Linked DNA regions of Schizosaccharomyces pombe. The protein of the gene in region 3 binds, or shares a complex with, the protein of the main gene of each other region. Each region holds a gene or a part of one and is shown on either strand. Other genes may lie near its edges.

Region 1 (4,140 bases), 510 kb from region 3:
TGCAATTGAGAGACTTGATACATCCTTCATTAAGGAACCATTTCGTACTTTGAATCATGCTATTAATGCGGAATCTCTACCATCATTACCCGATCAAGAGCCGTGGAATGTATTTCAGAATGCTAAGAAAAGAGACGGGCAGTACTTTGCCGTTTATTCTAAGCTAAAAGATGATTCCTCTAATGAATCTCCAAACAAGCAATAAGGTTGGAAAATCTACGTTCTGTTAAAAAAGGAAGGAATGAAACAAATAGGGTATAAACCTTTACTAGAGCGGTGCCTTACATATAGAACATGTAACAAACTCTCGTATAATTATTCAAAAAATTGATATTATCAAAAACTAATAGTATTTTCCACATAGCTTATTTCTTTTTTGCAGCGGCGGCGGCAGCAGCAGCGGCTTGTTTTTGTTTCGCTTTTTTGCTAGAGCGATACATTATGTAGGCAGAGATCCCAAAAATAGCTACATTCATTCCAAGAGGGGTGTATTTTTGACTTAAGTGTCCGTAAAGTGCAAGTGCCTTTCCAAAGACCCAGTAAAAGGACTTCAAGGGCCCGTTAACAGAGAAAAAACCTTGCTCTTTTTTCATACTTTTGAACCCGTCTTTTTCATATAAGGCGATTGCCTTGTTCTTGGGAAGAACCTGAGGAGAAACACGGTAGAAATTTTGATTATCGATGAAATAATAAGAAGGAATCCGAGAAATGAGTAAGCGTACAGAAAGTTCGAGGCTACTGCTCAAGTAAACACGGGCAAAGTGGACATCCGGATATTTTTCATGAAAAGCATGCGAAAGGTCCTAAAATTAGTTAGTACAGATTCAATTAAATCCAAAGATGGTTTAATTTATTTCCGAGGCTCAAAATTCAATCTCATAACAAGAGCATTTGGACAACATTAAATGCAGTCCATTACTTACGTTAAAAAGTAGCTCTCCAAGAGTACAGTTAGCACAGCCTTCAGCAGTCAACTGCACAAACCATTTGCCAGATTCAATGACATGATCCCAGGTTTTATCTGAAAGTTCGACAACGGTGGAATTGTCAAAAGCGCAAACTGGGTCTGTGTTGTATTTTTCATACGGTACCTGTAAGACATTCATAGCTTCAATGGCAGCTGATTCATCTCCTTCACAACTATAAGCTGCCACGAAATGCAGAAGTTCAAATAGAAACACAAAAAACAAATTAATTTTCATTGAAGCTGAATAAGGTAATGAAAAATATTTTCTCTGCTGCTTTAGCAATAATAAACACGAGTTATGAGATGATTTTGGATCCAACTCAAAATAGTTGGTAGCTGTGAGAAGAAGATGCTAGACGAGCTGATAGAGCAGAAACGATGGCCGCACAATACGCAGTAAACGTTTACCATTCAAGGATTTAAATTTCATATTAACTATACTATTATAGGAAAATCCAAAGCTTGTTATTGTAATTGAGAAACACTAAGCATCAACCCTGATAAAATATTACAATAACGATAATATTCAAACTCAGAAAGAGACTACGCTTCTAGTGAAGCCTTTTAATTAAATTTTTTATATTTTTTTATAGAAAAAAGTCAATGCTGAATACTTCGTAATTCTTGTTAGTAATGTAACAATATCTCGTAATGAAAAGCTAGAATTGTTCAAATTGCAGCTAGCTAAGCCTTAATTAATCCACTAATAAACTCAATAAATTCTTTTTATGTTGATTGAACTAAGTGAGAGTTTAGGTATTATTATTCCTTCGTTTTCGTCGAGAATTCGGACCCTTGTAACAAATGTGCTTTCATAGATTTTAAGGCATCAACAGCAATCGCTTGCTTCTTGGGGAAAAGTGTATTTCGATAATATCCCCTTGTCACTGAGACGACATCACCTTTTGTAAAGTTAGTAGTTTCCTACGACGGCTAAAAGAATGCATTTCTTATAATAAAAGGATGTAACCACTACCTCCCTATTATAGGTTTGAAATGAAGAACATTATAATTATGAAAAATTTAGCATACCTTGCCTTCCTAGCTTTGAAACTTCGTTGTTTAACAGTTTTACCAAAAACGGTTTTGGCTGTTTACGAAGAAACCTCTAAATAACTGTGTAAGTAACGGTGATTTTTTTTATAAGCTTGACATACCAGTTGCCCATAAATTCTTTGAAAAGGTGAGACTGCTAGTTCAAGGGAATTGAAGCGAAAAAATCGAGTTGTCGGTTTCATAATACTCATTTCAATTAAATGGGTGCACCAAGAAATCCGTCAAGAAAGTTTTTACAAAATAAAAAGAAAAGCAGCTTAAATAAATTCTCAATTGAATGTAGAATTCAAAAACCGTTAGTTTAGAGGTCTAAGACGAATCTTGTAGTGTGAACCTTTCCGATGATTAGATTTATAGTTTCTTTTAATTGTTATCAAAATAATATACTATTTAGGCGCGATATTTGTGATATGAAAATGGTCAATTTGAAATTGAGCGAAGCGCGATTCCAAGCTGTGCTGCGCGCAATACTTCAAGATCTACCAATATATCTCAACCAGTACCACCAACTTTATTTGTAGACATTTCAACGAACCCATTATAAAAAACATTGCTAATATTAGTGAATTAAAAAGAATAACAAACATCCTGTTTTTCTGTTCGAAAGTTGGGCCGCTAGTAAAACTATACTGAAATTACAATTACGTTGGTTAAATTGAAACACTTGGAAGTGGATATTTAGGGCTCTATGAACGGAATTAATACTGCTAACGAAGAAATTACAAGGAGCTTGGAAGAGTCCTTAAATATTTGCAAGCAGTCTAGTAGGCTGATGCAAAGAAACTTGCAGACAGGACGATTGATGGATGCATTTCGTAATTGCAGTATTAGTCTCGTGGAAATGAGAAATTCTGCACTTACTCCAAAACAATACTATGAGCTGTATATGTTTAATATGGAAAGCTTGCGTTTACTTGGGGGCACATTGCTGGAAACGCATCTGAACGGTACTCACAACCTAATGGACCTTTATGAACTTGTTCAATATGCCGGTAGTATTGTCCCTCGTTTATATCTCATGATAACCGTTGGAAGCGCTTATTTGGAAACGCCTAATGCCCTTGTACGTGAAATTATGAATGATTTGTTAGATATGTGTAGAGGTGTTCAGCATCCGTTAAGAGGTCTTTTTTTGCGCCATTATCTGCTTACCCAAACAAGAAAAGGATTACCTTTGGGATCAGAAGATGAGGAAGATGCATCTCGCAAAGGAACCGTACTCGATTCTGTTAAATTTTTAGTTATCAACTTTACGGAAATGAATAAATTGTGGGTTAGAATCCAACATCTTGGTCCAATTAAAGAATTTTCCAAACGTACCCAAGAAAGGAATGAGCTAAAGGTTCTTGTTGGGCTGAATTTGGTTCGATTATCTCAGTTAAACCTCGATATAGACACTTACCGAGATCATGTCCTTCCTGCCATAATCGAGCAAATTATTGAATGTCGGGACTCACTTGCACAAGAGTATCTTGTTGAAGTAATTTGTCAGGCGTTTTCTGATAATATGCATCTTCAAACCCTCGATACATATTTCGGTACGGTCATAAAGCTTTCTCCAAGCGTAAACGTAACCCAACTTGTGGTCGCTATGTTGAATCGCCTTACGGACTATGTCCAACGTGAATATGAATCTGATTCTTCTAATGAAGATGAATCTGAGACTGTAACCGAAAAATTAGGAGACATAAAAATTAATGAGGAAGTACAGCAAAAAGACGAGCAAGAATGCCCTGGAGATAAAGTAATTCCTCCAGAATATGCTATTCAAGAGGTTTTATGGTCACATGTTGTTGAAGTTATTCAATCTCGTAGTGGTCTTCCACTAGATTGTATTGTTTCTATACTTTCTAGCATCCTCAATTTTTTCTTGCGGTGTTACCCTTATAAACCCCAGTATGCAGATCGTGTTTTTCAATACATTAACGAACATATCATTAACCAGCCCTCCTTACGAAGCGCTCTTCATGAACGTCCATTACAAAAAAGTCTTTGCGCAATTTTATTGCTTCCTCTTACATATTTCCCTTCCTTTTCTTACTGTCTTGAGCTACAGAATTTCCTTCCTGTATTTAATGCGCAAGATCCAAACCTTCGTTACGATATTGCAAGAATGA
Region 2 (3,584 bases), 1.2 Mb from region 3:
CAGTCTAACGATGTGTTTGGATTTCCTTTACAACTCAACGTCCGTTCTCGAAATGTACTCACAAATGATTTAGTGAAAGAGATTGTCGAACTGTATCGAGTTTATGCAGGCATAGACGTAGCAATCGGAACTCTTCAGCTTGGACTGAAGCGGATGGAAAGTAAGGCCGGGAAATGGGAATGCATAAAGGAAATTGAGGTTAAAAGGTTTGAAATAGTGGAGGAAGAGGAAATCGTTATTGACGACAAAACTGTAATTATGTGTCTATGGAACGATCAACAATATGAAAAGTTATTTTATAACTGCGAATGGATATTTGAAAAAATTCAGTTCCATATGGAGTCCATCACCCTTGAAGATTGTTTACTGGAGTTTTCCAAGCCAGAGCAGCTTGATTTACAGGATTCCTGGTATTGTCCTGGGTGTAAGGCATTTCGACCGGCAACAAAACGGCTGGAGATCTGGCGATTGCCAAAAATACTAGTCATTCATTTAAATCGATTCAGCGGCCACGGTGGAGATTTGCGGAGAAGACGTAAACGAAGGGATTTAGTAGTTTATCCAGTATTTGATCTCAATTTGAAGCAATTTTTGAGTCCATTTATAAAAGATCATGAGTGGCTATCGTCACAGAAATCGATGCTTTACGATTTGTATGCAGTGGACAATCATCACGGGTTTATGAGTAATGGTCATTATACTGCCTATGCAAGAGATGCATCGAGCCAAACATTCTTTAAGTTTGATGATACAGCTATTTGTGAAATAGATCCGGAGGATATTGTCACATCGTCTGCTTATGTATTGTTTTACAGAGCAAAGAATTAAAGAGACGTATAATAGAGGTGATATGAACTTTACTCTAACTAAAGGCTAATGTCGTTTGTTTGAATATGTATGAAACTGGAAATTGAATATGAACGAAGACGAGGAAGAGGTGGGAGTTTTTGCAATAAAAAAGTAATAAAATAAGCTATTAAAATAATCCATTACATTTATTATTCATAGAGCATTAAAATTATGAAAAAAAAAGTAGTAAACTTTTGCAACCAGACGTTTTTAAAAGCCAGTGGGATTAACACGATTAGTACTACGGGTCCATTTTGGTGATTTATGGACACCCTTGCGGAAGCCTTGGAGACCGGCACCTTGAGTCTTCCTGGTAAACATAGTGTATTTATCCTTTGGTGACATTTGGGATTCAGGCTGATGGTTAGCAACGAAACTTTCAATTCGTTTGCACGATTGATTTTTCTCTTGCAACGCCGTGCGCAAAACATCTACCACCTCATCGACGGCACGAAGTCGTTGACGGTGACGATATTTTCTTCGCTGGGATAATCTCCAAGGTACTTTATGAACAAGACCGCCAAAGCGAGCCAAAGTCGAGTTAAATGCACCCAGCATATTTTTCGTATAAAATCAAAAGGAGAGGAAGAAGGTTGGATCAAAAAGAGCAAATAAAAATTTTTTGTTAAGTTTTTGGGTGATAGACAAATTCTGAGTAGTTGATGGTTTGTCACAAAGTAGTTTACGGCTCCAACGAAACAGCAAAGATGTGAACAAAAATTAACTTGATTAGCGTCCTAAATTGATTTAAATATTATATTGCCATTCAAATATAAACACTACACCTCCAAAATGGTGGAGTTGGTTAACTGAAGAATGATATAGGTTTTGGGTAAGTTCATATCCTTGGGTGTACCTTCCAACTCGAATCCACGTGACCACCTGCCAGTAAGAATCGGCTCATTTCTACTTCCCACCTGCTAGATAAATCGCGATAGGGCATTTGCAACCAACATCTCGAGAGTAATTAGCTCCTGGGTTATAACCGTTAAATACCACCTTTAAGGAAGAATAAGCAGAACTTGATCATGGCAGAGAAGACAATTACTGTTGAAGAAGTGTTAAAACATAACACTCGTGATGATTTGTACATTGTTGTAAAAGACAAGGTGTATGATATTTCCAAGTTCCTTGACGCTCACCCTGGTGGTGAAGAGGTTCTTGTTGATTTGGCCGGTAAGTAAATTTTTAGGGGTACGCGATAATGGAGGTCTTGAGGAAGATTGGTTGTAATGCATAAAAATTGGTCGCGATTGTGTGGAGTCGTAGAAATCGAAGTTTCAGACAACTAGCGTTACAAAACTTTGAATTTCACGAGAGTTTAGGTGTCGCATATACACATGTTCTTTAATTTGAAAGATTCAGGACGAATCTTTGCCGTAGGAACGTACAAAAATAGATGCGATATCCTGAATAAATACGATGTTTAATGCGACATTGTCATTGAAGGTGAATTGTTAAGTACAGTCTATATGTTCCAAGATTGATCGCTCTCTACTCGATGTTTTGTATTTCCAGTACTCTGAATACACTGAAATACATAATTTTGGAAAGATTGATTGACGATATCGCTTCGATTCTTCACATACGGCTTTTGGATTGGCTATACAAAGTTTCTGCCTTTCTCTACCATCGCTAGGGGCTTTTTTTTGTTCGTTTCTGTGATTATTAACTTGTTTTAGGTCGTGATGCTAGCGGTCCTTTCGAGGATGTTGGTCACTCTGAGGATGCTCAGGAGTTGCTCGAAAAATTTTACATTGGAAACTTGCTCAGAGTATGTCATTTATTTTTTCTCTTCGTTCGCCATAGGCTCGTTAAAATTTTTGTAAAAATTTGCTTCGACACTCTAACATATTTTAGACTGAAGATGGCCCTCAGCTTCCCACAACTGGTGCTGCCGCTGGTGGAAGTGGATATGATTCTTCTCAACCAGTTAAGCCTGCTATGTGGCTCTTTGTCCTTGTGATGGTTGTTGCTTACTTTGCTTTTCGCAAGTATGTCCTCAAATAGACTGCTTAAATTCCCAGTCTTACTTTTGCGCTCAAAGAAATTTAAAGGCCTTCTTTCGTTTTGGGTCGTTTAAATGTGCTGAATATGGTTTTGTGATTTTGAGCTAGCAAGTTTCGTTTTTTGTTGTTGTTAGATATCTACTTTAGCTTTCTTTACCTGTTCGTACTTAGGATATTTACGGATTCAATGTATTCCTTTAACACGCTTTGGTTTGGCTCTTAATGTGAATGGCATATTAATATTAATAGAGACCTTTGATTTGTCTGGACGTAAATTTAATTCACAACGGTCTTATGCTTGCTTTGCGTAACTGTATAATTGATAATACTTAGTGTTATATTTTTTGTATTTTCGTTGTTTGTTCTCTCATAAAAAAAAGTTTTATAGTTTCTTCTATTCTATTGTTTTATCGATGGACCTATGCCCAACTTGTCTAGAATTTTAAGCGGTGATCGAGTAAATAAGTTCGGGCGTTATTTAACGATCGAGGATTTATTCATTAAGTCTTTTTTTTTATATATAAATGTAAATTCATGATAATTGCGACACTTTTTACGTCTCAACAATTTTTTTCTACTATTTTAATTTAGGTGCTAATACACAGTTCCTGTAACCACCGCTACCTGCAGACAACCACCATCGCGCCTTTGCGAAAAATCAACTTTTTAAGATATGTCTTGGTTGTTTACAAGAAATAAAGAAGAGGAACCAACCTCAAAGATTGA
Region 3 (4,835 bases):
TTTAACACCATTTTTGATGGGTGCATTATTGCCATTGTTGACATCTTTGTTTAAAACCTGAGAATTCGCAACAGGCTCAAATTGAGGCTTAGGAGGTTTAATTCCATTGCATGAGCTATGATGGTCCTCAATATACTCTGATAGGAAGGGTCGGTCGCATTTTGTGCATACAACATAATCGAGTTCTGAATTGTTAGGATATGACCCATACTGAGGAAAGGAATCAGCAGGTAGTAAAATTTGAGTTTGATTCGTAATGTTAGAAGTTATTTCATCCTTTACCTGTGATTCTGTATTATCAACTCTTTGATCAGCGAGTACATCTTTGGGTAACCCATCCGGGTATTTCAACAAAACTTGCTCATTTCTTTCCCAATTTTCTGGAAATAACTCCAAAGTCTGTTGTTCTGTTAACATTTTATTGATAAGAACCGAGTTTATAAACAGAATTCTACAAAGTTGCCCTTTGTCAATTCCTTTGTAGTGGGACTAAATCTGTAAGTCAAGTGTATGTACGGTTTAATGCTTCCAGAAAGCAAAGTCTATAATTGCATTCTAATGAACTTTCAAAGGATTATGCTGACACATATCATTTCTGATAATTACTAAATTATACAGACATTGTCTTTAAGGGCTAGACTATGACTGACAAAAGAATTTTTGATCTTGGAATTGAGGACAAACTACGGATATCAATTTTGATTAACAATTCTATTTTTTTAGGTCCCTTGAGCTAAACATAGTTTATTATTAAGGTGCGCGCTTTTCCCGTTTTCTCGTACACTGCCAAGAATCCACAGATCATGAGGGTGAGTAATCATGAAATCCGGACTCCAAAAGTAGGCGGCTGAAAATAAAATACTGGCAGAATCATTTGCAAATAAAAAGATAGAATAAATAAGGAGAAATACTTAGTGAAATTCCAAAATTATTTGTTTTTTTTTACATCGTACCAAAACATCAAAAATTAAGGAGAGAAAAAAATAGAAAACGTGAAAATTAAGCTGAAAAATGCAGTAAGATTGTAGAAAGATTGAATTTCCAAGATGAAATGTTCCGCTGTTTATTTTCCGTAGATTTTACATATTGTTTGCTCAATTGAAGATTACAAACGATCGGAAAGTATGTTTTTTACAGAATCCCATGAAGAAGGAGAAAGTTTGTTTTTCAGTTCATCGTACGTACACCAAACCCAGTCATAAACGTTTTGCAGGTTAGGTACATCTAATCCATTTAATAAACGAGCACGTAACAAGAAGGTCTAGAAATAACTGGTTAAACAAAAAATCAACCCAGATAAAATGAGAACAAAAAATCCGTAGTCTTACCTTTTCTTGTTCCGTTTTTAGTAATGCTAATGGATGACGTGCAACTAGCCAAGTCAACGAATTTTCGTCTAATATATTTTTTAAAAGATCTTGACATAACTACAGTTTGTTAGAAAGGCCAATCTGCAGACTATGTAAACAAAAATTGCAAGAGTATTTGATAAATTATTTAGCATCAAATCAATAGTAAGTAGTCTCTTGCACTATATTGTGTATCTTGGAATCGAATTTTAAAAAATGTACTTACCAGATGCAGCGCCTTCTCGGAGCTTGTAACAGGAGTGTTAGGAAATTGCCAACCCGAGCTTTTAGATTTTTTTACCAACAAGTAAAGGGACTTGTCAAGCGAGCGAAGAGTGCTTCGCTCATCGTTTTTCGTATCAGCTTCTGTGACTCTGGATTGCAAGTGAGTTGCAGAATCCAATAATTTGTTAGACTCCATCTCTTTCCTTTCCTTTCCAAATATCGTCTCAAAGGGTGATTCTTTACCTTTTAGTGTTTTTTGTCGTTCTTGCCAATCTTTTTCACCCACCGATCCCTTCTTGAAATAAAATTCTGCAGGTAAAGGATCACTCAGCTCATTCCAAAGTTCCGCATTATATTTATATATAGATTTTTCGAATTCGGATGGTTGGCGAGTAAGAATTGGCGATCTAATTAAAATTGTACCCACTGAACAACCTAAGATATGTTAGCAATCATGTACATCAAAGGTAATTTTTTTATTTATATTTAATATCCCTAGATAATTCATTTTCATTTTTTAATTCTGTACCTTTTAGAGGAGTCGAGTTAGACAAGGGTTTAGAGGATTGAATGGAATTTCGTACAGAAATGTGAAATTGACGCGAAAAAGACCTCTGCATATTTATAATATTTCTCTTCAAGTACATTGTTTAAACTTAGTCAATTTACGCCAAGTAAATCTCCAAATTTCGGCTTTGTTTACTAATCCGGTAAAGACCACTTGGTAAAGGCAATCGACGTTTCGCTATGGCTAGCACTACCACCTGTTTTACCAGCGTACATTACACGCTTCGTTAAGTACTGTAATATTTCTTAGAGACTCTGTTGCTATCGTTAATATGTTTTAATAGATTTCTTTGGATTTCGTTATAATTCAATTTAACTCACTTAGAATGGGGAATTGCTGACGCAGTAAACCTTTCAATCCCCATAACAATGTCTGCTTCCGTCGAATTAAAACGTAAGAAATTTGGCTAAATTCTTCTAACGTGTGGATAGCTACAGAGAAGTTCAGTAAATTTCTCGAGGAGTACTCTTCGGTACCGGTTCGCGCCGCCATTATTAGCATTTCTAATGGTAAGTTTCCATTCGGGCTAGAAGAGTAAATTTTAAGTTAGTTGAAGTTACTAAATGATTTAGAGAATTCATTTGACGTGAAAACAATGGTTGAAAAATCAGAATCGATAGAATCTGATTTTAAGAAAGTCCGTGAATGTTTGCTCGGATCTGAAGAACCTGCATTTGTCCTCGTTTATGATGATAGCAAGAAAAATCTATTACAATTAATTTCCTATGTCCCTGAAAATGCGAATGTTCGCAGGAAGATGTTATATGCCTCTAGTCGTGCTGCATTTGTAAGATGCGTAACTCTTGCTAAACTCGACGAGTCTTATTTCGCAAGTACTCCGGAAGAGTTAGATTATCAGCAAATTATGAAGAGCTTAAGCAAGCAAGAGGACCAAAGTCCTTTACGACAAGATGAACTCGAAAGGAAAGAGTACAATGAGGTAGGTAAACTGTATTGGGGTGGATGGATTTTTCATACTTCTTTACCGTGGCTCGTAGAATTTATAGCTTCTACTCTTTTATTTGCATCTATTTTAACAACTATGTAGTCTATGCAATCCTCAGTAACTCATAAGCGTCCTTTGGTGACCCGTGGTGTTGCTATGTCGATTGATGATAAAGCCTTAAAGGCTCTTTCTGATTTAAAATCATCTACAGAAAACAATCTTGTTATTTTGGTAAGGAAGCTATGATACTTTTGCTATGTATGGTGTTGCTAACCTCCTTTAAAAGTCTATTGACAAAGAAGTCATAAGTTTAAGTCAAGAAAAGCAAAATATACCTCCTTCTGATGTGAAATCCTTCTTTTCTTCCACCGAACCTAATTTCGCTTTCTATTCCCTGCCAAAAGACGGCTCTTCAAAAATTTGTAAGTACAGATGCAGGATCATTTTATTAACAAGGTCTAGTGTTTATATACATTTGTCCAATGCAAGCAACTGTCAAACATCGAATGGTTTATTCTTCTTCCAAACTTGGTCTTTTGGATAGTATTAAAGCAGAATTGGGTATTGTTATTGATGGCAAGGTATGTTTATCCCTCGTAGTAGATTTTATGCTCACATGACAGATTGAATCGAATGATGCCGCTGATATAACTGAAAAGGAAATTCTTCATGCTGCTGGGATATCAAGTCCTCAAGCAGAAACAAGCACCACCAAAACTGGTTTTTCGAGACCTCGACCCCCTAGAAGACGTTAAGCAAGTATATACAATTTTTTGCGGTTTCAAATTTACAGACTTTTTAGTTTATCAATCTTTTTCATGACATTTCAAATTCGAATTAAAACAAAATATACTACCAACGCCTATATTGAGCACACGTTGCATGCTATATTAACGGTCTCACTTTGCAATGCAAAATGTTATACTTCAATAAATAGAATAAGACAATCACTAGATCTATACATTGTTTCCTCTTTTCTAAAAGCGAAATCCTTAAAGACTCCATTCTTGACGAGTGTTAATCTTGCAAACATATATTGTTCAAACATTAAAGAAACACTATCCTTCATTAACAAAATAAATACTCTTTTGGAAATTGTAATTGACCTCAAAAGTTACTTTCTGATTTCCAAAAGATTAGATATGATATAATATTAAAAGCATATGCACCAAACCATAACTCCTATCATAAATACATAACTCATAATCAGTCATTTGAAAGAGACTGTATACAGTTAACAACCTTTTCCCGTATTGTCTTGCTTATTTTATGTTGCTGAGGTCCTTCAAGCGACAGAGTACCATCCGATAACGCAGTGTATACAGATCGACAGATATTCTTATTGAATAGAGCAAATTGATCTTTAGATATTTTTGCTTCTCGATAATAAGGCTTCAGAGCTGCGTTAACTAGCCGTTCTATTCGATACTTCGTTTCATAAGAGACTTTTTTGCTGGAATGCACCAAATCATGTCGGCCCGAAGTGCGTCGTTGATGCATACTCGTATCATTAACTAAATGATTATCCACAATTTCTCCTGGTTCCGAAAGTTCAATCAAATGGTCATCCAAATTATCATTACTGATTTCCCTAGGTGATAGCGGTACGTGAGATGGTCGAGGAGAGAGATTTGAGAAAAGAGGAGTCAAGTGAACGTCTGAAGTTCCATCCGAAGCTTCAGAGTGAGAATTCTTAATCTCATGTTGTAAACTTAACATAAAGGAAGTATCTATTCGTGAGGTGCTT
Region 4 (4,072 bases), on a different chromosome or scaffold from region 3:
ATAAGGGTTTATCAGCCATCCACATGCCTGCATATTAAAAAACAATTAGATGATTTACATTCATAACCCAAAAAAATTCATACAGTAAAATAAGCCCTTCCAAAGCTTGAGAAAGTCTAACCTTTCAAATTTTTTCTTTTGGCTTAAAAACCGCTGCAACGATTCAAGAGCCTTATCACGAGTTTTTCGATCTTACAGTGTTAGTACATTAATCATTTATATGTAAGAAATTTACCATTAGCTGCAAGTTTCTTAATAAACGGCGACGGAGCCGACATTGTTGGTTTATTGACAAAGTGTTGAAGCAGTTCTTAGCATCGTTCCTTCCATACTGCGTTTTAGTGCACTAATTGGAGAGTTGATAAATGTCCCTTTCTAATATATGAAATAAGGAGTTTCCCAGTCAATATGTATTATTTTTTTTAGAATTGACCGTTTATGTAGATTAATTGATCATAAGGTTAATGTACTACTATGGTTCGCTTACACTTCTATTACAAATGCCGGTTTTCTTAGTCATTCTTATATATAAGTCTTTAACCGTTCCATTGATCAACAAATGTTCTTTTTCTTCTTCCTTGCATGCCTTTGAAAAGGAGATCCTTTGAAAGATCTTTTCCTGTTGGATAGACAATCGGAGGATGAAAAAATTTTAAGAAAGCTTTAAACAAAAAAAGGCAAAAGATAATAATTTAACAAACAGTCGGCAGGGGTTCTTGATTATACAAAAAAAGTGCATGACTGCGAATGCTCAAATCTACTAATGAAGCAAATGAATAAATGTGAGAAAGGGTTTATCTGACAGAGAATGAACTGACTACAACAAGGGGATTTGGGGGATAAAGAAGGAAGCTATATTTTCGAATGAGAAAGGTATTCAAAATATTACTAATGGGTATTGAACTGTAAGCGAAAAAGTCAGTAGAGAGCTCAAACACCGAAATTGGAAACGTAATTATACAAATGTACTAAGAAAAGGATGCAGATATTTCCTTACAAAACTCAACATGTAACCCATCCAAGAAAGTAAAGGAGGCTGCACGGAATCATCAATAGACATAACAAAGTTTTAAGGACATATTAGGAAAGCGGGATTTTTGATGAACATATATCAAGTTCTGATGTAATATGGGAACTACTTATTTATCTTTAACAATCGGTTCGTAGGGGAATCGTTGGTCGCCATAATATAGCTCTCGAATATTTTTAACGTTGGCAAGATACCCTGCAAAATGTGGATTTGTGTAGTAGCGTATGTCTTTCTTTGAAACTGGAAGGGGAGGGCGAGGAGGTGTACGAAAACTTGAAGGATGCAAATGGGCACGTAGCGCCAACGGGCTGAAATATACTGTTGTTATACTGCCGCCTGCATTTTTGATTTGTTGTATAGCTTGAACTGTAGCCTTAGAAACTTCTATGGAAATTGCTGTTTTAAGGAGTCCAGGTTCGTCAGCAGTAAGTTCAACTCCATGTTTAATACCTCTACAGCATCTACTATCGAGGAGGTCTTTCATAGTAATTGTCTTGCTAGCATCCAATCTACCACGATCAATCCATTCCTGAACTCTCCCTAACCCCAGACGCAACGGTTTCTTCAAATGTCCCGTACTGTGACCAACTTTAGGAAATAATTTGGTGATAGGAGTTTGACCACCTTCAAAACCAGGTTTAATTCTCCGTCCACGCCTTTGACCAGATCCTTTATGACCACGTCCAGAGGTTTTTCCTAAACCGCTCGCAGGGCCTCTACCCACTCGCTTCTTTGACTGATAATTTGCACTGTTGTTTAAATCATTCAACATACTGATGCCGCGGAAACTAGCACCAAATCTTGGATAACCAGAGGATCTCAAAAAACCATGAAATGAAGAACTGCGACAAACCCGAGATAAAATATTAAACATTTTCCAATTCAAAAAACGGGTTTCGTCGAGTTTAGATGGTAATAAGTCCAAGGCTGCTGTTTACTATTACAAAAGATTCGGACACACACGAATACGTAAAATTCTATAGCGTCTCATAAAAATATCTTTATTACTATATTCAGCATCGCTGCACTGCGCAATTCGAATTTGTTTCCTCCTTTATTTCTTCCTGACATATGCCAGTGCATAATTGCAGCAACAGCGATCTTGCTTGGTAGATATAATAACCCTTTACTTTATAATGGAATCGGCACAGGCAGTAAGATTTATCAACAGTAACTCGGTAACTAATGTTTGTAGGTCGCGGAACCTCTTGATTTGGTGAGGCTTTCTTTGGATGAAATCGTTTATGTAAAATTACGGGGAGATAGAGAATTAAATGGCCGTCTTCATGTATGAAATTTTTTTAACGTTTCTTGAATATTTTTCTTATTCTGAATTGGTTATACTAACTCGATTGTAGGCCTATGATGAACATTTGGTATGAATCATATTCATAACTCGCATTTGGATGGATTACTTACACGTATTTTAGAATATGGTACTAGGAGATGCTGAAGAAATTGTAACTATTTTTGATGATGAAGAGACCGATAAGGACAAGGCCTTAAAAACGATTCGCAAACATTATGAGATGCTCTTTGTTCGTGGTACGTAGATTCTAAATATTACGCTCGAAAAGTTTGACCATGATTAAGCTTTCCTTTTCGAAACTGTTTTTCCTTTTTCGCCAAATGCTAATGAACTTTAGGTGATTCGGTTATTTTGATTGCTCCACCTCGTAATTAAAGGAACGAATAAAATTACTATACAAAGCTATCTACATATTTTTATCTCATTCTTTTGTTTAAAATTTTTCGCTTTAGAGGTGCTTCTTCGTACAATAGTAACGACTTTTGATTTGAGTATTCTATATTACAGAAAAGTTTGATTTTCCTTTATTCCGTTGGATGGATAGTTTTATCTTTCTTTAGTCACGCACCACTTCTTGTTATTCCTTACATCCTTTTACTTAATAAAAGCAAAAGACTCTTCGAAGTTAACCAACATTCACGAGACGCTGAGCTTTGTCATTGAGACTTTTCATTAATGGTTTTATTCTTTGTACTTGACAGGATAGTAAGCGATTTTTGCTTGCATGGTGGTTGCTCTTGCGATCTAGCAAAATCAGATTGACATTCCTTTAGAGATCAGAGACATAATACCATTCATTGTGCAAATAAAAAAAAACTATCAATTGCTTTCGATTTGGCGGTGTTGTTCACTAGTTCATCTAGTATTTTTTTATTATTAACAAGCGTATCATCATATATAGGCGTAGCGGTAAAATAGAACAAAATAAAATAAATTCTACAAATATTGATTGTATCCAAACACCCAGGACCATTTATTTCATGAAATGCTCGTGTCAATAGTATTCTCATAACGATGCGCACCGCTGAGACTTATTTCAAGGACAACACGAGCGCCAGAGACCTCTCCTCTGCCTACACGCTCCCTTCGTTATGAATTCAGCTAAAGCTACCTCTCTCCTCTTTCAAGGCTTTAGAAAAAATTGCTTGCGATTGAACCGCATTTCTTTCGCTTCAGGTTTGATTAACCGGTTCACCGTCCCAGCTCGAACTTATGCTGACGAAAAGGTATTTTTTTTTCATTCTTCATCTTTTTGATTACTTGTTAACTTTTTTAAGGTGTTCGTTAGAAAAAAGCCGCATGTCAATATTGGTACTATTGGTCATGTTGACCACGGTAAAACGACGTTGACGGCTGCTATTACTAAATGCCTTTCTGATCTTGGTCAAGCTAGTTTTATGGATTATAGTCAAATTGACAAGGCCCCCGAGGAAAAGGCACGTGGTATTACCATTTCATCTGCCCATGTTGAATACGAAACTGCTAATCGTCACTATGCCCATGTGGATTGTCCTGGTCACGCCGATTACATTAAGAATATGATTACTGGTGCTGCTACAATGGATGGCGCTATCATTGTTGTTTCTGCTACCGATGGTCAAATGCCTCAAACTCGTGAACATTTGCTTCTGGCTCGTCAAGTCGGTGTAAAGCAAATTGTTGTATACATCAATAAAGTCGATATGGTCGAGCCTGATATGATCGAGCTTGTCGAAATGGAAATGCGTGAGCTA

What was found.
Region 1: mrpl17 (region 3) and SPOM_SPCC777.17C share a complex: the UniProt entries of both Schizosaccharomyces pombe proteins name them as parts of the mitochondrial large ribosomal subunit.
Region 2: mrpl17 (region 3) and mrpl31 share a complex: the UniProt entries of both Schizosaccharomyces pombe proteins name them as parts of the mitochondrial large ribosomal subunit.
Region 4: mrpl17 (region 3) and mrpl10 share a complex: the UniProt entries of both Schizosaccharomyces pombe proteins name them as parts of the mitochondrial large ribosomal subunit.

What each region holds. Positions count from the first base shown.
Region 1 is NC_003421.2:1,616,845-1,620,984, forward strand, and holds SPOM_SPCC777.17C (mitochondrial ribosomal protein subunit L9), read right to left. Parts: upstream 2,215-4,140; coding exon 2,125-2,214; exon of another isoform or gene 2,076-2,124; coding exon 2,000-2,075; exon of another isoform or gene 1,870-1,999; coding exon 1,730-1,869; 3' UTR 1,302-1,729; downstream 1-1,301. Other genes in the region: protein Gta3, read left to right, coding at 1-205; SPOM_SPCC777.12C (ER stress response thioredoxin family membrane disulfide oxidoreductase), read right to left, coding at 366-803, 924-1,202; retromer complex subunit Vps35, read left to right, coding at 2,712-4,140. UniProt on the Schizosaccharomyces pombe protein: Component of the mitochondrial ribosome (mitoribosome), a dedicated translation machinery responsible for the synthesis of mitochondrial genome-encoded proteins, including at least some of the essential transmembrane subunits of the mitochondrial respiratory chain.
Region 2 is NC_003421.2:886,681-890,264, reverse strand, and holds mrpl31 (mitochondrial 54S ribosomal protein mL60), read right to left. Parts: upstream 1,680-3,584; 5' UTR 1,408-1,679; coding exon 1,060-1,407; 3' UTR 970-1,059; downstream 1-969. Other genes in the region: ubiquitin hydrolase Ubp1, read left to right, coding at 1-828; oca8 (cytochrome b5), read left to right, coding at 1,878-2,025, 2,532-2,623, 2,710-2,859; TIM23 translocase complex subunit Tim23, read left to right, coding at 3,532-3,584. UniProt on the Schizosaccharomyces pombe protein: Component of the mitochondrial ribosome (mitoribosome), a dedicated translation machinery responsible for the synthesis of mitochondrial genome-encoded proteins, including at least some of the essential transmembrane subunits of the mitochondrial respiratory chain.
Region 3 is NC_003421.2:2,123,440-2,128,274, forward strand, and holds mrpl17 (mitochondrial 54S ribosomal protein mL46), read right to left. Parts: upstream 2,307-4,835; 5' UTR 2,222-2,306; coding exon 2,104-2,221; exon of another isoform or gene 2,010-2,103; coding exon 1,576-2,009; intron 1,428-1,575; coding exon 1,329-1,427; intron 1,262-1,328; coding exon 1,106-1,261; 3' UTR 694-1,105; downstream 1-693. Other genes in the region: SAGA complex deubiquitinating submodule subunit Sgf73, read right to left, coding at 1-417; twf1 (twinfilin), read left to right, coding at 2,511-2,535, 2,574-2,651, 2,715-3,082, 3,191-3,319, 3,375-3,510, 3,551-3,669, 3,712-3,843; ubiquitin-protein ligase E3 Asr1, read right to left, coding at 4,295-4,835. UniProt on the Schizosaccharomyces pombe protein: Component of the mitochondrial ribosome (mitoribosome), a dedicated translation machinery responsible for the synthesis of mitochondrial genome-encoded proteins, including at least some of the essential transmembrane subunits of the mitochondrial respiratory chain.
Region 4 is NC_003423.3:1,820,768-1,824,839, reverse strand, and holds mrpl10 (mitochondrial 54S ribosomal protein uL15m), read right to left. Parts: upstream 1,938-4,072; 5' UTR 1,905-1,937; coding exon 1,140-1,904; 3' UTR 883-1,139; downstream 1-882. Other genes in the region: Nop52 family nucleolar protein, read right to left, coding at 1-27, 84-191, 236-278; U6 snRNP-associated protein Lsm3, read left to right, coding at 2,167-2,184, 2,226-2,318, 2,389-2,406, 2,461-2,575, 2,677-2,714; translation elongation factor EF-Tu Tuf1, read left to right, coding at 3,431-3,565, 3,617-4,072. UniProt on the Schizosaccharomyces pombe protein: Component of the mitochondrial ribosome (mitoribosome), a dedicated translation machinery responsible for the synthesis of mitochondrial genome-encoded proteins, including at least some of the essential transmembrane subunits of the mitochondrial respiratory chain.